Drosophila melanogaster: one gene and its partners. The protein of the gene in region 2 purifies or fractionates together with the protein of the main gene of each other region. This does not show direct contact. Each region holds a gene or a part of one and is shown on either strand. Other genes may lie near its edges. The genes, in order: PAN3, Helz and Patr-1.

Region 1 (6,063 bases), about 12 Mb from region 2:
GCTTTTGGCCAAAAAATTAAAACACATAAACAGAGAGACTGCCGAGCTGAAGATCTCCAATTTCGTCTGAGCCTCTCTTGTTTACGCTCGGCCCAATCGGCCCAAAACAAAGGAGGGACAAGCGAAGATGGAAGGAGCGAGTTGGTAAACCAGTTTTCCACCGCACTCGACCAGAACGGACGCCGTCGGAAAAGGAAGCGGAGAAGAAGGAGTGAGTGGCAGGGCCATCAACAGGTAACCCAGTGCACCTACAGGCCACGCAGCACCATCCAGAAGTAACCAGCGCCATCATATTGTACCATTGTCCATCCTATCAGCATCATCGTATCACCAAAGTCAATGTGTTTCCGTCAGCTGCCGTTGGCCTCAGCTCAGCAGGCCAGAAAGCCAGAAAGCCAGATGAACCGAAAGCTCGAAAGGAGCTGCCATTGTTGATAGCGCTGTAATTCTGGTTCGCTGTTGTTTTGATCGGTCTGAATTTTGGGCTCTGCAAACGGGTTTGCGAGTGCATTCATTCAGCCCAGCCAACCCCCTCTGCCACCTATTACCAATTTACTTAGACTGCTTGGTTGTTGTTATACCCTTTCTTGTAATTCGGAGATTTTAACTTGGCTAAGATGGCTTAAAGCCATCTAGCTTAATCCTTCGATCCCAAATTGGTATTGCTACCGCTTTTTATTATTCGTGCAAATTATTTTTATTGAGAAATGTGAAACAGAATCTACTTGGTAAAGAATGATTGTGAAAAACACCCTGAATGTCCTAGGACATCCTGTACAATATCCTTTCGACGATCAAATATTTATGGTATAATGGGATAATATGTTAATGTTACACTGTACAAAGTCACCCTAAAGAGAGTATCCCAAGCTTCAGTGCCCGTTGGAAAGCAGCCTTTGTGCTGGTCTCATTGTTTTGGCTCTGGTTTTGGCAAAGGGCAGGGAAGCGAGGAAGTGGTTTTTCCTGCCGTACCTGTATGAGTTTCCCTGTCTCGGCCTCTCTATGACCATCTCTTTCGCAGGACAAAGAAAATGCATGAGGAGAATGCAGAGTGTGTGGAACTTGTTCCTGATCCCAGAGGGGTTGCAAGGAGCAGTAAATGGGAATCTGAGCGTTTCCAGGAATAACAAAACGATAATCGATGGTATTGCAGCGAGGAATGTACGTAATTAAAGGGAAGTGTATAGATTGTTTTGGGGCAGATTGATTATGCCAAGATTCTCTGTTCTAGGCCGCTACTCCATCCCGTCCCTATCCCTCTCTCTCTCACTCTCGCATTCTCTGCCTACTTATCTCCTTCGCCTCCTTTGTTCCTCGGTCACGTCCATGTAATTGCCAATAATCACAATATGCGCTTCGGTAGGAAAATTCAATTTACATGCCGCCAGTGGAGAGAAAAAACAAGAGAGGCGCAGAATTGAATTACAGGATGACCCCGGTGAGAACGCTTATGAAATATGCCAAAGGTGACTTTCAATTAAATGCCACCCAGCCAGAGGCGTGCGAAGGATTTAAAAAGGGGCAGATAAAATAACGTACTAACCGATCAATATAAGAAAGCTGATCTATGATTAATCACTGAGTTAAGCTCATAAACATACCAATTTTATTATTACAATCATAGAATAACTATGTATATGAACAACTTGTTTGATGGGGGGGTCATTTCACCCCGCCAACCCCTCTCCAATACGCTCCTGCCACCAGCTGTGGTTCTGCTCTTACGTTCCCTGTCTTTGCTTGTGTTTGATTTCCTTTGCTTTTCTGGCTTTGTTTTTGCTTACCTGCCGGGAAGAAATTGTTCAAGAACGTTGACATTTTTCTCTTTCGCTCCCGCCTTCGCCAATTCCTCGTGCGCTCTCTTTCTTTTCGTGGTCCTTCTCGTTTCGTTACGCTTTGTTTTTGCGTTTGTTTTCGTTTTAATGTGCACTGAGTTAAAAACTTTTTCTTGGTTTTTTCGTTTTGTTTTCGATTTTTTTGTAGTTCTTTTTAATAATTTTGTAGAAAATATTGAAACAAAAATTTAAATAATACATACAATCCGCGCTTAACTGCTAAGTTTCAAATAACACATTTTCACATTGTACGTTTCGAAAATATTTTTTTCTTTCACTTTTTCACGTAAGTTTCTTGCAGTTGAAATGCATTTTCGGGCAAATGATTAACAATTGAGGCGCGTCGACTGTAAAAAGCGAGAAAGAGAAGAACATTGAATTAAAATAAGTAACGGTAAGCGAAAAACAGTTGTTTGTTTTTGCAAAACGGGGCGACAAAATGAAATCCCGAAACGCAACAGTGAGTGGGAGTGAGAGGGCGGTATAGCTTGGATTTCATTAAATTTTCCAAAGTGAGTCTGTGTGGGTGTACGAGGACGCTTTTTCCTACACATATACAGACACAATTGCGCGCATATTTGCTTACGTTTTCCACACTTTTTTTCATTTCGCACTTGGTTACTCATATTTTTAGAGTTTTATATTTAACACCATCCAAAATACATACACACTGAACCTAAGCCAACATATTGTGTAGTTAATTGCCTGTTTCATTGTTAGCTTTTGAATTGCTTTCAGTACCGTAATTACTTTAATGAGGATATTTCCTTGAAAGGAGCTGCTGTTGCTATATTGTATACATTTTCATTACCATTTTCCAACGATTTTGCAAATAAGAAAAACGCAACACACACACCGCGCGATTGGCGCTGCACGAATGAAGAAAACGCAAAGAAGATCCAACAGCCAAGCCAAATGGAGTCCACAAACGACCCCCGAGTGTTGTATACATGTACGTCCGTCTGTGTGTGTGTGTGCACAGGAGGTCGGATAAAAACAACAACTGCCAGCTGTGTGTGCAACAAAGTGGATGTGGATTCCATTCGAGGAGTGTTGGGAAAACATCCGCGCTCAAGGGGTTACATGGACTTTAGCTATTGTTAATAATTTTAATTAACATATATATCATTTTATGCAAAGAAATTTAACAGATTGTATAAAGTCCCTCATGTTTTTCAGCTGATAAATGCTGGATATGAAATACGTATTCTTTCAAAGAGAAATCCTTTGACACGCTACTGAAGTTCCATTATTGAATATAATGTAATAAAATAACTTTTAAAAATGGCGAAACCCCTTTATGGTATTGTAACACTTCACCTTCAAGTGGCCAGGACGTTTTGCAGAAACCCTAGCAATTGGCGTTGTTATACACACATGCATATATACACAAAATAAATACATATACATATGTAAGTTTTTGGCTGGGGGGAGTTCAACAGGACCCAACAGCTGGCCACAGGTTGCGTTCCACATAGAGAAATGTGGGAGCCTGGGCTCCAAACGCGATCCACACTCCAGCCATATTTGTGGAACGCGACAAACAGCTGGCTAGGAAAAGGGGAAGAGGACGCAAAGGGGAAGGGAACGAAAAGAAGGGGAAGAGAAAAAGCAGGAGCAAAGGAAATAAGAACACATATGTATACGATTTGTTTTTTGAGTGGGAACAGCTGGAAATAATTAACTAAGTTCACTAAGCAAGCCAAAAGCCAATTTATAAGTGTAGTTTTGTTACAACGTTTTTGGAAATATTTTTATTTTAATTTTCAAAAATTTTCATAATAATTGCACGTGAATTAAAAGTCAATTCATTAAGTTTTTATTTTCATTAAAGTTTTTAATTCACCACCGAAAATGAAATTGAAGCCATCTTGGTCACCAAATTTTTAAGACGCAATTTGTCCAAATGGTTCTTATAACGCAAGCCAGATAGCAAATACGTATAGTTTTTTGTTCAACACGCCAACGATTTGTTTTTGTTATTTTTCAAATTGATGCCGCTGTTGCACACACACACACAAACACAAAAAATGCCAAACACACAGCGCACAGCGAAGTGATACAAAAATGTCTGCTGAGAAAACTGCGATTTTTCGCTCTTTAATCCACGTTTTCCGTACCTCCACTGACCAGTCATAGTTCACTTTGCGAGAGGTGACTTCATAAAGAACCTGCCGTTTGTGTTTTGTCAAACTTTTGTACATTTTAAAGACAAAATCACAATATTTAATTTCTTACATGTTTTCCGTTTGCCGCAAGCAGTGTGACCGCATCTCGCGAGTGACGAGTTCCGTACTGCCGGATATAAGGGCAGCACATTAAACACGAATGGATTCGTTTTCAATAATATACTTGTAAAATTATATATATGAAGGCAGATTTTGCTATATTATTTTAATGCTATTTTATTTTGAAATGGTTAATTTAATAATATTTGTTATTTTATTACTTTGTAAAGGGGATGGTGTCCCTGCTAACGATCAACCAGGGCTGGAGAAACACAGACAATAGAAAAACATCGATAGGCTTTGCCAATAACATCGATACGTTATACTAGTATTTTGCCTAATATAAGATTTGGTCACACCGCACAACACTCTCTAGAAAGACAACAAATTTTTTGGCGAGCGGACGTGTCGGCGGACAAAAAGCTTGCAAACAGAACAGAACGGAAGAACACAGAAGAGAACGACACGACACGGACAGCGGGGAAAGGTGGCAATTGAAAGAAAGTGCCATACTTAGTGTGCGAGCGAAAGAGAGAGAGAGCAAACTGGGTATTGCTTGTGTGTGTGTAGTAGTTTAGTGGTCGTGTGTGTGGGAGTTTGTGTACGAAGCGAGTGGCAAAGAAAAACACAACAAACATTATTCCAAGAAAATTTCCAATCATGTCGGTGGAATCCTCCAGTTCGGCGGTCCAACAGCCGCCGTCGTCCTCGAACCTACCGCTCCTGGGCGACAACCAGGCGGTGGCCACGACCAGCTCCGCCTCCTCGGCCTCTTCCTCTTCCACATCGTCGTCCTCCTCGTCGGTGGGCGGCGGCAATGTGGTGGGCGTGCCGCTGGACACGCAGGGCAGCGGAGAACCGCCGGCCAAGAAACAGTTGTTGGACGGAGGGGGCGGTGGTGCCACCAGCAGCAGCGGCAGCAGCTTGCTTTCCAGTGCCGCAGCCGCCTCGGGAATGCACGAAAAGCTGGCCCACCGCATCTCCAATGCCCTGTGCTGTGCCGTCTGCCTGGATTTGCCCAAGACGGCCATGTACCAGGTGAGTTTTTGGATTATTTACAGCGGCTTGAACTATAAGCCCTTGTAAACTAGAATCAAAAAAAGGAAGTAAGAGCTTTAAAAGCGAAAGAAGAAAAACAGCAAGTGCGCGTGTGTGTGTGCGCCTCATTCTGTATACAAACAAATCGTGGCAGCTCAGCTGTAAGAGTAAAACACCTCTCTCCCTCTCTCCACCCTAGCAAGACACAGCTGTGCGAGAGCGAGACGTCTAGCTGGGGCGCTCTTGCATTATTCGCCTTGAAAACATTGAAAGAGTGCGAGGGGGAGCGAGGGCGGGAGTTAAGTCCGTGATCGAGGGTGGAGCCTTTTGTGAAGATATGATGTGTAAATGTATGAAGGTTTTTAAGTTTCAGCAGATAGTTGTAGTGTGAAGATTTCCAATAAAGAATACGACTGACTTTCTTGAAGTTCAAAATCAGTATGAAGTTTATTGTCAGAGAGTGGCTACTCGAGTCCTCCGTTTTCGTCTTATACATAAGTACATAGGTTCTTAATTGTAAGCATAATGAACATGCCGACTCGGCATGTGGCTGGCTAGCTGGGGACAATGTTGCAGTGCGACTTTTGTGTAATGTCAGCATTCGGCCGGAATGTCAGCATTCGGCCGGATGCGGTGTTCCAGTTGCCGTCTTCCCGGTTGAGTGTCCGATGATTTGTTTAGAGGCGTGGGGGTTTAGGGGGTGGGGTGGTAACTCCTCCCCCCCCAGTTCGAAGTGACGGCCATAGCGAAGGTATGGATGACGCGTAGATTGGTACGTGATGATCCTCGTGGATGTGGACGATGTGTTTCGTTCGTCGGTGCAGCCATAAGATGACTGCTAGGAACGTTACCAATCCGAGCAGAGTGTAGAGTGTCCAGGTGTGCTGTATAGTATTGTGATGGACGGCCAGGATTTTATCCATTGTTTGGGTGGCTTCGAGGTGCAGTTTTTCTAGGCTTAG
Region 2 (6,241 bases):
AGGTGAATGAATGTATAAACAGTGCTTCAATCTTTTCAAACAATGCATCTCTTTACACCACATTGGCATTCTAATTATAGCCATGTCTATCAAATCATAATTCTGACGCTAACCAGAAGGTTAAAATGTGCACAGAAGGCTAGAACTGCACAACTGCCTTTATCCGATTTCAATATGCCCTATTTAAAATGCTGGCTCTGTTTTGAGCACTGAATGTTTCGCCTATTACCTCAAAATACTCACCCTCATCGCTCATGATCACCTTCTGGTGCGCCTCGGTCTGGCAGTGCTGTCGCAGTTCGTTCCTCGTCTGAAAGGTGATGGTGCAGTAGCTGCAGGTGGTCGATGGAGCCGCCTGATCGCCCTGATCCGAGCCAGATCCGTCGCCGGAGCCCGGCTGGTGTTTTCCTGCCGTGAGCTTCATGGCCGCCAGCAGATCGTTGGTCTTGTGGAGACTTGTGCTGGAACTGGACATCGTGCTGCTGCTGCCAGTTGAGGAGCTACTGCTGCTGCTCGCATAACTGCCGATTCCATTGCCATTCTGCTGCTGTTGTTGCTGCTGCTGTTGCTGCTGCTGCTCCCGCTTCTTCAAGCCCTTGTTGCTGAGCAGCTTGCTGTACTTGTCCAGCGGCAGGTTGTTGGTGGCCCAGTGATCCAGTTTGGTATCCAGTATAGCCATCTCGTCCTCGAGACGGGCGTGTGGGATCTTCAGGGCCTGCGCCTTGTGCTGCCCGTTCATGATCATCTGAATGATGGACTTGTACCGCTCAAGGGTTTTCGATATGTCCGAGTATATCTGCTGGCCGCTCAGCTCGTTGATCCACTTGCTCAGGAAGATTTCGGCATCCTGAAAGAAAGTTGGAAAAGGGTAATGATTGCATAGTTCCAGTAAATTTCAGTATGTTTGGCACATTGTTACAATCTCATACAAGGCTCATTGAATTTTAAACTTAAGTCTTGGTAAATCATATAAGCATGTGCAGTGAAATGAAAAACCTTAAAAACAAGAGCAGGGATAAGCTCTTGTAAACTCCGGATTATACGTACCCCGTACTTGTGCATCTTGAAAAGAGCGTGGACGAGCCATCGGCGTGCCCTGGACACGCTGGCCAGGCACTCTGTTTGCTCGGAGAGCAGCGTGAGCACCTTGTAGGCGTCCGCCAGACAACCCTCGAACTTTCCCAGCTCTAGGAGGCACTCGCATCGTCCCAGTAGGCAGGCGATCTGCTGGTCCTTCTGGGCCCTTGATCCTGCACTCTGGCCACCGCTTCCCTGGCCGGGACTGGGCGCAATCAGCTGGTCGTAGAGCGCCACAGCACGGGCCCAACTCCGTCGTCGGACCATGTCGTGGGCCTGCATCTCCTTCTCGGCGGCCATCGTTTACTGGCTGGTGTTTAGTGGCTCCTCCGGGTGGTCAGTCATGCATGTGTGAAGTTTTCAGGTCCTTGTCTTGATCGCTCGTCTAAGCTCTACGGTAATTCTGTGGGGATAGTTTAAAGTTGTATTCTTGTATTCTTGATCATTTTATTCAGTGAATTTATACTTACACAATTTAACAGTTTTTGTGTGGTTAATAATAAGAAATCGATTATCGTTTTTACATTAATGTTTTAGATACTTTGCGGGCATTATGTTTACTGTAAAGAAAGATGTTTGGTTTTAGTTTTTATTTTCATGTTCGTATGGCGGATATACGGCTTATTTATGTTTTTATTGTGAATTGGTTGAGTGTAATGTTTTTAGATTTGGTTATGTTATTAATGTTATGTTATATTATGTTATATTTTTGGTTTTATAGAGCACGTGTTGTTTTCTTTCGTATTTATGTTTTTAAGTAGTTATTTCTCATGTAGAGTTTACTTTCACTTAGTTATTTCAATAAAGCACATTTATTGTCTTTGGTTTATAATAGTACTATACATTAATGTATGTTGTAATCTTTAATGTTTATAATTACCGTTGTGTTCTTGAAATTTGCACACAATTTCACATCTTAAGTATTCTAGTCCTGAATTTTCCTATTGGCGATTTCACATTTTAGATTACTTTAAAGACCGGCTTGTTTGTACGGATAATTATTTGGATATTGAAGAATTGATTAAATCATCTTCGTTGACTGCCAGTAATGTTCGCTAAATCCAAAACAGAAATTGTTTATATCTCGCTTCTTATCGGTTCCCAAACAATTGTGTGTACTTAGTACAAATATACAGACGGATTTATAGAGTGCGCCTGCAACTAAGAATATATATGTATATATGTACATATGTATGATAAACAATCCAAAGTGCTGTGTCTTTATTTTTCGATTTACACAATTTTCATTCTAATTCGGTTACGCAAAATTTCATAAGAGCAATTTTCACACTCGCACCGGCACAAAAGGGGGACGGAAAACTCGGAGGAGGGTGGCATCTCGGGGGGAGGAGAATCCGGTGGAAAACACTTGCACAGAACGAGAAAATTCGCCAGCATAATTAAAAGTAATTTTCAAGTTGTTTCTTATTATTTTTCTGCTTTTTTTTTTGGTAGAGGTGCTTGCTCTCTTTTATTTTTCCTGCTACTTTTTTCGCTGCGTGTATGCGTGCGTTTTGTTGTTGTGCGGTTTTTATTTATATGCGACAATAAATGGGTATTATTTATCAGTAAATTGCGAGCGCAGTTGGCGATCAAATGCAAATTCCAGAAGTTTTGAGCGTAATGTTGATTTTTCTTGGCTTTTTTATATACATGGCCGGATTTTCTTTGCCTGACGTTGTCTTTTCAGTTGTTTGCAGGCTAAACAAAGGCACTTTTCACGAATTTTCCGATGTTAGTCTACGGTTTATGTGGCTGGTTATGGTTGAAGCGTATTTAATTGTAAATTTGCACCAAGCCCGAGAATCGAGAAGGATTTATTTTACCATTTTTCTTTTTACGTGCTGAAAACAGCAGACAGTCGCCAGTGTTGGCCAACTTCGCAAGGCACTCGCCGAGTATCGCATGTGGAAATGAATGGTGGGATCAATCATATTTTCCAGTATTTAAGAAGTGACACATGCAACACATTTAATGACGGGCAATAATAATTTAATTTCGTTTATTTTAATGCCATGTTAATTGCTCAATAAAATCGGCACAAAACATTGCACGAATATCGACAACCGTCGCTTTGCAACACCGCATGCGAACTTGACAACACTGGCGCATGTACTACACGATGATTTTGCCATCATATGAAAATATATGCGCACAATACATGCATATGACCGCATTGCACTTTTATCTGATTAGTCAGTTATTTATACGGCTCGTTAATCGTTTTGCATGCTCAGCAAGCAAAATTTACTGCGCTGAACCCTTTCCAGCGCGTTTATGGCAAGTCAGCCAGCCAGCTGTACACTTGCTGGCCAATTTGTGCGTACATTTCGGGCTTTTGCACTCTTTTTGCGTTACCTTTGCACTAAATCCTATTGTTTGTACACTACGGACTAATTCTATTTTACATGGTTAAGCACAAAACTATGAGAGAAAATGCACATCACGTCGAAAAATGTTAAAAATAAGTTATGTATGTATGAGGGAAAATTCGCGAAATGCACCAGTGCTGAGCAGCGGCGCGAAATAGTGCTGAACATGTCGCGCAGAAATCAGGGACAATCGATAGTACTGCGCCAGGAATTAATCGAATTCGAATAATGTTTACAAAGAAATGTTAATTACTAAATTATTAAATAAAACTTTGCTTAATTCAATTTTTCACGTTATAGGAGATATATTCACTTAATAGGTAAGACGTAATCAACAGTACGCTTTAAATTATATGAAAGTCAGCAGATTACAAAATACGTACTCATAGTTTTAATATTCTGTAAAGTTGTTTATTCGAAACATGTTAATTGATTTAAATACGTTGTTAACAGGCTGTTACCATGTTGTCTCAATGCTCTCGTTTGTGGGGCGGCACGTAGACTTGCTGCTGCTGCGTCTGACGATCTCCGCGGTAGCGTGAATGTTGCTGCTGCTGTAGATGCGGTTGCTGTTGCTGCAGATGCGGTTGCTGCTGCTGCGCTGAGTTGCTCAGTGGCCTGTTTTGGGCATCGGTGATGGGCAGGATGTCGACCTTCAATACCTCCTCATGGTTTCCATAGCCCATAAAGAAGACCACGCAAGTTTTCTCCGACACGCCCGTGATCTCAGCCTCATAATACTGGAAAATAAAGAAGGAATGATAAGTTAAGTTCAATAGATCAATTTGAATACTTTGTCCTACTACAATTACGAATGTACTTTCAGTTTATCGACCTAAACTCACCCTTCCATCGTCCCAATACTTGGCCATGCACAAGTCGCCCTTCTGCCACATCCACGCATCGCCTGGCACCATGCCGAACTGATCCCGTGGCGCAGCCTGTGGCACAGCCACTGGAGCAGGTTGCGCACGGGAAACAGGAGCGGAAACGGGGCCAAAGGACATGGGTGGCGATTCCTGCTGTTCCTCCTCCTGTTGTTTTTCGTTGGGCAGTGTAACACCCTGGCTCTTTAGAAGGTTCATGGCAAACTCGTTGGCCTCCTTGCTCTGGAAACCCATGATCTTGCTGGGATCGTAAGTGTAGCCATTCGCCAATTGACTGTAGTTCGCCTGCGAATTGTGCCTGGGATTGTGATGCTTTTGGTTGGTTTGAGCCTTCTCTGGCTTCTGCGAATGCAACTGTGCTGGCTGCTGCTGCTGCGTTGTTTCTGTGCCCGATCCCGCCAGGCGATTGGCTTGTCCTCCTTGCTTACGTCGATTCTCTCGCTTTGGCGCACTGCTCACCTTGAGATTAGCTGTTTCCTCGGTTATCTTACTCAAACGGGCGTTGAAATCATCGCCAGCACTATTTGTCGATTTCGCTGCAGAACTCGCCGAAGTTAAGCTTGCTGCCGGCTTGTTTCGTCTGTTGCCATTGGCGTTGCCGTTCTCTGCTCGATTGGAGCCTCCACGATTGCTGCCTCGTTCGCTGCCACGTCGGTTGCCAGTGTGGTCCTTCCCATTGGTTGTTTCATGATCTGGCTTAATCTCGGAATTCGGTTTCAACGATACGTTATCCGAGCCATTGCGATTTGCGGTTTTTACGGTTGGCGTTTCTGGTTTGTAACGTCCAGCTGCACGATCATTGAACGCTCCTCGCTCTCGCGGTGGTCTCTCCTCTTTCGGCGGTTTTTCTTCCCTCGGAGGCCTGTCTTCCCTGTAGGCTCGCTCCTCTCTTGGTGGCCTTTCGTCCCTGCCGCCACCCCGGTTACGGCCACCGCCTCGCGACGAACCCACATGTCCACCACGATGTGCGGCAAAGCTGCTCGATACGTTGTTCTCAAACCTAGAACGATCTGCAAACTTGCCGCCTCCGCCCATAGCTGAAGGTTTGCTCTCGGAATCGCTGAAGCGCGAGCTTCCATATTGCTTAAATGGATTGAAGTGATTGGTAGTGGGTGGGGCAGTCGGAGCGGCAGTTGGAGCGGCAGCGAAGGTTTCTGCATTACTAGCGGCCGGTGTTTCCTTGGCGGGCAGTTTATTGGTTAGGAAATCAAACAGCGTGGTGTTGGCAGCCGGCTTGGGTGCTTCAACTTCGTCCTTGGCGCTAGCTCCACGCTTTCCCTCTCTGGGCGGACGATCTCCGCGTCCCGGACGACCCACGGATTCGATCGGACCCACACCGCCAGCTTCACTGCGTCTTTTTAGATTGTATAGGGCGCGCTCCAAGTTGTTTCGGGTAGCAGATAAGGCACTGCGGGCCTCCTCCTCGCTGAAGCCCTTGTCTAGGATCTTCTTAACATTGTGATCGATAATGTTCTGGCCACCGCCGCCAAAGATCTTCTTGCCGCCGGCCTTGGTGGCCACGGCAATGGCCTCTGTGCGCATGGCATTGAACTCTTCGTTCTCCTTTGCCGGCTTGTCCTTGTCGCCCTCGCCCAGGCTCTTAAAGTTCATTTCGCTTTCGGCGTTGCTATCGATTTTTCGGCCAAATGCCACCCACGGGGGTGGCGCTGATGTCCCATTCAAGGGGCGCCCACTGCGCGCATATCTCATCATGGTCCTGGCCAGATCCCATTTCTCGTAGAGTGCATCCACACGGCCGCCGAGCAGCTGAATTTCACTGGACTTTAGCAGCAGGAATCCCTGCATAAGCTGCAGTTTCTCGGCCTTGAAATAGATCTTGCTTCCGGGAGCCACATTGAGATTCAGTTGGGGAACTGGCTCCAGCTCCAAGGCCTTTATGGAATT
Region 3 (8,566 bases), on a different chromosome or scaffold from region 2:
AATTCTAAATGGTTAGATCATTGAAACTACTTAGGAACAAAATATAACACACTTTTCCATATATAGGTGTTCAGCGGGCAGTCGATCTGTGTGCTGCTCCTGGCAGCTGGTCCCAGGTGCTCTCTCGGAAACTCTACGATACCTGCGAAACGGACGATGAAAAGTCCGCTGTTAAGATCATAGCCGTTGATCTGCAGGCCATGGCCCCGATCCGTGGAATACTCCAGCTCCAGGGAGATATCACAAAGCAGTCGACCGCCGAAGCAATCATCGGTCACTTTGGTGGAAATGAAAAAGCCCAGCTGGTGGTCTGCGATGGAGCCCCCGATGTCACCGGGGTCCATGAAATGGACGAGTACATGCAGCACCAGTTACTTGTGGCTGCTCTCAGCATTGCCACCTGTGTGCTGGAAACTGGCGGAACTTTTGTGGCCAAGATTTTTAAGGGAAATGCCACATCGCTATTGAGCTCCCAGATGCAGATATTTTTCAAAAAATTCGACATCTACAAGCCACCGAGTTCGCGTCCTTCGAGCATTGAAGCTTTTGTGGTTTGCTCCGATTTTTGCCTTCCCGAGGGCTACATTCCTCAAGTGATTAACCCTGCTCGCGATGATATACGGCTACTGGCACAGAAAACAGGGTCGGAAGTAAACCGTCGTCTAGTTCCTTTTATAGCCTGTGGAGACTTAAATGGGTTGAGTGATCCCGAAGAGGGCAAGACTTCCTCCTCAGATGAATCCAAATCAGTAAGTGATGTGCCTAATACTTTGCTTTGTTTTTTTATTCAACCATCTTTCCCACAGAATTTAGAGTATGTTTACGATGCTGTTATGGACGACGCATCTTATCCCCTGGAATTTAAAGAGATTCTAAAGCAAGTCTATGATGAACAACGCCATATTATCTAAATATTTATAAAATAAAACCAAAAAAATTAAATTAAATTTGTATATTAAGTGGGCTTGGGCCAAGCTAAAAGAAATGTGATAAAATTAATCAAAATATTGAATAACTTAGATTATTTAAAGATTAGGTTATTAAGACTACCAAGATATTACTTAATTTTGTGCATATCCCGTTATTTGAGCGACAGCTTTTTTTGCTCGATTTCCAATAGTTTCTTTTTCAGTTCTATTTTCTCAGCCATTAACTGTTCAATTGCCAAGTGATGTCGCTTGTCCTCGTACAGCTTCTGCTTGTACAGGACAAAAAATTCATTGAGTGCAAGTTGAACGCTGTTGGCGGTATCGTGCACCATTTCTAGGTTATTGCTAATCTTGTCAAGCAGTGTGGTCTCCTCCTCCGCCAGTCGACTGCTGGCCAATGCGGCCCGTTTGTTAGATTGCAGGTAAAGCGGGTCAATGTCCGTTTTGTTCTCCTCCGGTTCGTAAACGTACTCGGCGGAAGTCTGAAGGGCGCCACCATCTTCTTCCGGGACCACATCCTCTACTTCGTCCACATCAAATTCCGTGGTGGAATTCTCATGCATTTCATCGTCGGAGACCTTCATAATAATCTGACTTACATCCTCGTTTAATCTACACAGTGTGGCTATTGTTTCCTCCGACGAAGTAAGACTGGTGCCAAAAGGCATGTTCTGCATCTCATTCTTTTCCACCTTTCTCAGGATAAACCTCTTCCAGTCCTTTAAGGCCTACAAACAAATCAACTTATAATGCAAGCGGTTAGAAAAAAAGTAAGTTAGAATACCCTTCTCCAGGTGGCTATATCTTTTCGCGGCGGACCGTGGCTATTAAGTTCGGATGACAGTTCCTCCCACAGCGACTCCAGATTGCCCCGTGTTTCCCACGTCGGATTCTGAAGCAGACGCGGATGTTTCTTCACGAATTCTAACAATATCAGCTCTTGCGTTGAGTTGCGCGGCTTGGCTTTGTTCCGGTCGATGGCGATGGTGGTCTGCGGCTGGAATTTGTACTTGGAGTTCCGGTTGAGTCCCGATGTGGGGTGCATCCTGTTCATGTGCTTGCTTAGATTCGTGGTGGTCGTCTTGTAAGAGAGCTTCGCCTTGCAGATATTACACACCGCAAACGTGTCGTCCACCGCCCGGAAAAAGCACCAGATCTCGCTCGTTTTCCGCTTCATTTCGACTAAGTTGTTTTGGAAAAGGAAACAGGCTCGTAGTTCCGTCCAAAGCAATAGTTCAAGAACTAGTAATTTAGGGATGAGCTTGCGGGCGCTGATTTCAAGTTTCGAACTAGTTCAAAATATCGAATACATTGAAGGAGTGCAAATGCACCTTAATTAGGGCAGATTTTTCATTGATCAGTAAAATCTAATGTTGTTGACTTATTAACCAGTCGTGGTAAGTCCCAAACTGAATAAATAAATATGCAACATACGAAATTTGGCAGTGGTTAAATCATCATTTTTTTCTAACATCACTGTAGCAAAATGCAAACTTATAAATTTAGACAAATCTTCAGTCGTTCACCTATTGAAAAAAAACGTATGAAAAAAATATATATTTTAAATTTGCATGTTAATTCCAACATTTGTAATATGATAATATTTATATGCGAGCGAAATTGATGTATTGTGGCGATAGTCAGAAAACCATCGACGTCAGACTATCGATAGTACCATCGATATTTTGACAGCTATACTGCTGAGGTGACAACTTGTCACTGACAAGTCATGATAATTTTTTGTAAAGCAATAGATTTATCGCCATGGATGACTCGTTTTTCGGCTTTGACACGAATCTACCGGTAAGCAGCGGTCCCGACATTGCGGCTGCAATATCCGGGATAGCGGGCCGCACAGGGGTCGGCAAATGCCCAACGCACACTTTTCACTCGGCAAATAAGGGGGCATCGAAGGCCACCGGGGGCAGAAAAAGTAGGAATGTCTAATTTACTTGCTTCAATTGTTTCTCCAGGACGAAGATGGTGGCGATGGACGCATCGTCGAGGCGGAATACGATGCCCTCAATGACGAAACCTTTGGATCCGCTATAAATGGCGACTGGGAGGAAGCCCATGAGACGATGGTACGCCTGGGCGGGAATGGCGAAAGGGTGCGGAAGCGACCCGCGGAATCTAGTGGAAATACGGATTTTGCCGATCAGGGAAATGGTGCCTTCCTGCGACACGCTAATCCGCTATCATCGGCGCCCTCTTCAAGCGGCTCCACTCCGGCCCCTTTGAATGCCCCCTTCCGACAGTCTCGTCACATAGGGGACTCGGACTTGGAGCTAAACATTTCCTCCATGAAGTTGGACGACATGGACCTGTCCTCTTTCACCACTGATAGCGAAGCCGGTGGGCTGAGCAACCGCATTAAGCTGGACTCCGGGGTCTGGGGATCACAGCCGTTTCCCAACAACCAACATTTGTTCCGCGAGCCTATGCGCAGCGCCTTCAAGCCACAGCAGCAGCAACATCAGCAGCACCAACCACAACAAATGAAGCCACCGCAGGAAGCGAATGCCAACTTTGCACTGAATCCACAGCCTTTTCCAAAAATTACAACTCTCGAGGATATAGAGCGCAATATGATCATTCAGCAGGCCATTCCGAAACAACAGCAGCAGAGCCAGCAACAGGCGGAACGCAAAATGTTTGATGATTTTAGTCTGGGTAACAGGCAGCAGGTGCCTACACCAACCATGTTGCAGCAACAGATGTTGCAGCAGCAGCATCATCAGAAACAACAGTCGCAGCAGCAGCCGCCACAACAAGCGCAGCACAAGGGTAATTATATATTAAAACTAAAAAGTATTGATGCATACAAAAACAGGCCTCAGTATTTAAAAAGAAAACATGTCCAACAAAAAGTATAATTCCTAAAAATATTTATTTCTTACGAATCTATTTTTGGGGACAATTTTTAAGACAGATTTAACCATTTAAGGAACAAACTTCAAGTCCCTGATAGATTTCTGCGACATATGAAAATAACACCATTTAACAATTCATTGCAGTACCCCCTGGCTTCTTGGGCACGCCGCACACCTCTCCACCGAGGCCAAATTTGGGTTTCCCCGGACCCGAGCTACTGCCCACGCCATCGTCGCAGCAACAACTAAACGGTATTGGTGGCAACCGAGTGCCGCCCGGATTTATTTACCCGCAAGGTCTGCCCGGGAATATTCCGCAATTGCCCCAGCATCCTCTAATGCAGCAGCACATGCCGCACAACTTTCCACTGCCCGGCGGCAACCAGCGACCTCTACCCAATCCACAAGCTCTGCCCACGGCCCTGAACAATTTCGCGATGCATCCAAGCTTCAATGCGATGCGCGCCGCTGGAATCCATCCAGGGGCTTTTATGCAACCTCCCCATCCGCACCAGATGCTGCCACCGCGAATGCCGCCGCACCCGCTGCAAGCTGCCACAAGTCTATTAGGTCAGCAGCCACCGAATTCCATGTATAACATGTTCAACATGCGACTAGTGCAAGAGATCCAGCAAAACCATCCGCTGCTTCAACAGGCTGCTGTTGTACGCCAAATGCAACAGAGCAGAGCAGGATCCGTGGCCAGCGATCGTCAGAGATCGCAGGCGCAACAGCAGCAACAAGGACGACGTCCAGATGGTACAGGAAATTACCCGCTGGAAGAGTACGATGAATATGCCAACCTAATGAGCACGCGCGACAAGCACTGGCTAATCGGAATCCAGCTTTCGCAGCTGAATACGGACACGCCGTATATCGACGACTATTACTACACGGTGTTCAGGGAGCGCAAGGCCCAACAGAACGGGCAAATGCGCAACAGTCAGGCGCACAAGGACAACCAGTTGAATCATCCGCTTACTCAGCCACGCGGCCATGCGCAGCTTATTCTCGTACAGTTGGGCAACAAGAATGGTACTCGCAATGGACACGGACGTGAGCGACGCAACTCGGAGAACACCAACAGCACGTCAGGCAACACGAACAATGGATCAGGTGGTAACAACAACAACCTGACAGGCTATATATTCTCACCACTGAAGTTCGAGAACTCACTGGGAAAGCTACAGTACGGAAGTGTGACAGCTCCGCGAAAAATTATCGATGCTGACATTATGAGTGGTGAATCAAATGCCGCTGCTGAAGCCAACGCAACTTCTTCATCAAAAAGCTCGACTCCGCTGCCCACCTCCGCGAGCCATGATGTAAATCCCAGTAGCATGCGGAAGTCGCGACACATTTTGCTTCTGATTGAAACACTGTATCGCTATCTGCTGAAGTTGGAGGATTTGGAAAGCCCAGAAGTGATGGCCACCATTGAGCTGAAAAAGAAAAAGGAAGCCGAACGGATCGCAGCCCTTGAGCAGCTGGAAATGGCCAATAAAACGCCCGAAGAACGTGCTGCTGAAGCCGCCAATCCGCAAACCATGAATCCGCAACTAAAGAACAAGTTCAACTATGAGGTAGAGACGAAAGCTGCGTTGGTCAATAAATTAAAGGCAGGTCTGGCCTTCGACAAGGTTATCGCCATGATGAATGTGCGCAAGGGAAAGGTGTGTACTTTTTCTTATACTAATTTTAACAAGTGCAACCAAATAGAATTCGATTTATGTTCTAGTGCTATACGCATGAAACTCACTATTTTATTTAAATCAATCTTTCCTTTGCAGATACTTATTAGACGCATAATGCCCTTTATTGCGGATCAAAGCATTCGCTGGGTCGTGTGGAGCGGCGTCTTCTGTTCCCTACAAACAGTGGTGAAAAAGGACAAGGACGACGTTGAAGGCGTCTTGTACGCTCTTTACCCAGAGTTTAAAAAACACGTTAACAAAGCTACTTTCGAACTCCTAGTGAGCATTTCATCTGCTATTACGCTGAATGACAAGAAACTTGCTGGAATTTTTTGCAGTCGCGTAAGTTATCCTCAGTATTAAGTAATAGATACGCGTACTAATTATTAAATTGGCAGTTTGGAATCCTTTCGCTGGTTGCCCTGATACTTCGCGCCGAGGAAATCTACGTCTCGCGAACTGACGCAACTCTTAGCGAGGAGAACAGGCAAAAGTGGCGAGAATTTCTGGCACAGGTTGCATCCTGCCTCAATCGCACTATTCAAAACCAGACCATCTCGGCAGCCATTGAGTCGGATGCAATTCAGCCACTTATGGACCACTTTGAACGGTTTAAAGATCTTAAACTGGATGCACTCTTAGCATTAATAACTGAAGCCAGGCATCAAATTGATTAGGTTGCTTTGACGGATTTTCATTTAACTTGATTGAAGCGTTTCAAATAATTGTGAAATTATATAGCCGAGTTCACTTTGCTTTACTCAATTACGCATATGTTTGTATAGAATATGTATCCAAAACTTACATATGTACGATCGTTTTTACATTTACGCATACTACACAAAAATATTGATACAGGGTATAAAAATCTCATACTGAAATTGAGAAAGTACTCGACTGTCAATAAATTTTGATAATAGTTTGTTAGAAACGTTCTTTTATCCAAAATTGTGTGCACTGTACAAGAAAGGTAGAGAGAGGAAATCATGTTTTATAAATATAATATCGAATGGTAGGTTTTGCTCATTGTACATACTTATATCATTTTATATTCGATAAGGAGTACTTTTCCGGCATTTTCTGTAGAGATTTATAAAGAATAATTCACCCCACAAATTATTCTTTTTTTTTTTTTGTCATCGAATTAACAACTGGGCTCTCCTATATCTTGTAATCACGATTGTAAAAGGAATATCATAAATACGTTTTAAAATTTAAAAGCACCGATTTAATGCGCGATCCATGCATACTCATTTAAATGTGCATCCTTAAGTATCTGCTTATTTTCTGGTATTTGTAAATATCGGTTTAATGAAATTTTACTATACTACCTTTTGGGTTTCATTGAATCAAATTTGTGCAAGACCCATTAAATATAGTCGAGACATTCAGCATAAATGTGTACTAAATAATTAGCATTGTGACAGGTGCAGCCGTATTTATTATAACAAAATGATCAAAATTGTGATACATTTTGACTTTTAAACATAAACGAAGTTCCGATGATCGGAAAGAATTAGTTTAACACACAAATACAAATTTGAAATTAGAAAACAGCAATTTTCACAAAACTTCTGTAACGCAACGGATAGATATTTGTTGTAAAAATCCGTTGTGGAGCATTTTAATTTTATTTCGTTTTTAATTGTATCTACACCATCATTCAATGTTGTTTAATTCATTTTTTTTATTGAAATTCATGTTTTGTATCTGAAAAAAATTCTACTCGACTGCAAACGTCTTGCAAATACTTTAAAACTATGCTTTTTTTTAGCAAACAAGAGTCAAAATACGATAGCTGTCTAAGATTGCAAACACATATACAATAATTGTAGTTTAATTTGTATTTATCACATACAAACACTTCAAACCTTTTCCTATAAATATGTTCGCTGATTCAAAAGTAAATTTTTTTAAATTGATATAATTTCCGAGAGTATAATAAATAAAAAATACCATTTCACAGAACACACCGAAACTAAAACACCTTATTTTTTTGGGGGGGTTTTGAAAAAGATGATATTTAGTTTAGTAAGCAGTCTGATAAAAACACATTAGTTGTCCATTTCAATGATATTTTATTTATGGATTTTTTTAGCTTTCCTTCAAATTTATTGATTTGCTTCCAATTGGTGTTTACGCTTGTGCTATTAAACGGTTTTTCTTCTATAATAATATATTAATCATTTGATTTCTATAAACAATTGTGCCGGGGGGGGGGGGGGGTGCATCATTAATGGCGAACGTGTTTTGTGTCTGTCTGTTTTTGTTTTTGGCGCAGAATCAAGCGTCGAAGTGTCGGCAGTTGCCTGTCCGTAAGGGACATTTTGTTGTGCGGAGGCGCCAAAGTGCGTAACAAGTGGCGGCGGCGCGCTCGGGAATTGTTGCAAATTTCTGAGTCGGCGACGCCAACCACTGGCGACGGTCACCAAGACGACAACTTGTCGGCAGCAGTCCGCCCAGCGCGAAGGGATGCGAAGCCCACTCTCCCGATCCCACCCCACACTGGCAGAGAGCATGCGGTACACTTGGAGAAATAATGTGACTTCAGGGTTAATTTTTACTCTGCAATTCGAATGAGCTCTTAAGTTATTAGGTTTTGCAGGAAAATTTTGATATAATAAAATAAAATAAATTATTCATTAAGCTGTTATGCATTTATTCTTTAAATTCACAAAAAAATATTAAGCAAAATTACGTTTATTTATATATAATAAATTATAATAAGTTCCTCAACTAATATCCTTGCACGCCTAAAATATGTCGATTTCGCATAACCTCCCCAATTTCTCCGAGTGCATCCAAAGGCTAGACTTAGACAGACGATTGTGGCGACCAGTCGCCCGTCGTTGCTTCTTCGGCGACGGCGACAATGGCACGACGACAGGCAGGAGGACAGGACTCTGGCTCTGCCGTGGAGCGGAGCAGACAGTGCCGCAGTTCTGGGCAGGACCAGGACTCAGCGGATGCGGATACGCAGAACTTTGATTTGCGAACGGGCCAAGTGTGCGCCACTGGGCGCCGCTATTATTGCCATTGCCACCAATTGGCGCGCCAAACGCCGCTGTTC

What was found.
Region 1: the proteins of Helz (region 2) and PAN3 purify together in Drosophila melanogaster (affinity purification with western blotting, with the first as the bait; one study listed by BioGRID). This does not show direct contact.
Region 3: the proteins of Helz (region 2) and Patr-1 purify together in Drosophila melanogaster (affinity purification with western blotting, with the first as the bait; one study listed by BioGRID). This does not show direct contact.

Annotation. Positions count from the first base shown.
Region 1 is NT_037436.4:3,069,200-3,075,262, reverse strand, and holds the start of PAN3 (Poly(A) specific ribonuclease subunit PAN3), read right to left. Parts: upstream 4,131-6,063; 5' UTR 3,956-4,130; intron 2,717-3,955; exon of another isoform or gene 2,503-2,716; intron 2,183-2,502; 5' UTR 1,819-2,182; coding exon of another isoform or gene 1,785-1,818; intron 1-1,784. Other genes in the region: CG32486 (uncharacterized protein), read left to right, coding at 4,724-5,101. UniProt on the Drosophila melanogaster protein: Regulatory subunit of the poly(A)-nuclease (PAN) deadenylation complex, one of two cytoplasmic mRNA deadenylases involved in general and miRNA-mediated mRNA turnover.
Region 2 is NT_037436.4:14,787,267-14,793,507, reverse strand, and holds the start of Helz (helicase with zinc finger), read right to left. Parts: upstream 3,574-6,241; 5' UTR 3,436-3,573; intron 2,958-3,435; exon of another isoform or gene 2,904-2,957; intron 2,072-2,903; exon of another isoform or gene 1,958-2,071; intron 1,638-1,957; 5' UTR 1,548-1,637; intron 1,481-1,547; 5' UTR 1,378-1,480; coding exon 1,048-1,377; intron 848-1,047; coding exon 244-847; intron 1-243. Other genes in the region: Tdrd3 (tudor domain containing 3), read right to left, coding at 3,920-4,189, 4,295-6,241.
Region 3 is NT_033777.3:17,040,957-17,049,522, forward strand, and holds Patr-1 (protein associated with topo II related - 1), read left to right. Parts: upstream 1-2,607; 5' UTR 2,608-2,693; coding exon 2,694-2,732; intron 2,733-2,902; coding exon 2,903-3,716; intron 3,717-3,946; coding exon 3,947-5,475; intron 5,476-5,592; coding exon 5,593-5,838; intron 5,839-5,894; coding exon 5,895-6,173; 3' UTR 6,174-7,465; downstream 7,466-8,566. Other genes in the region: Trm7-32 (tRNA methyltransferase 7-32), read left to right, coding at 1-11, 67-749, 807-911; bdwf (bedwarfed), read right to left, coding at 1,082-1,657, 1,714-2,106.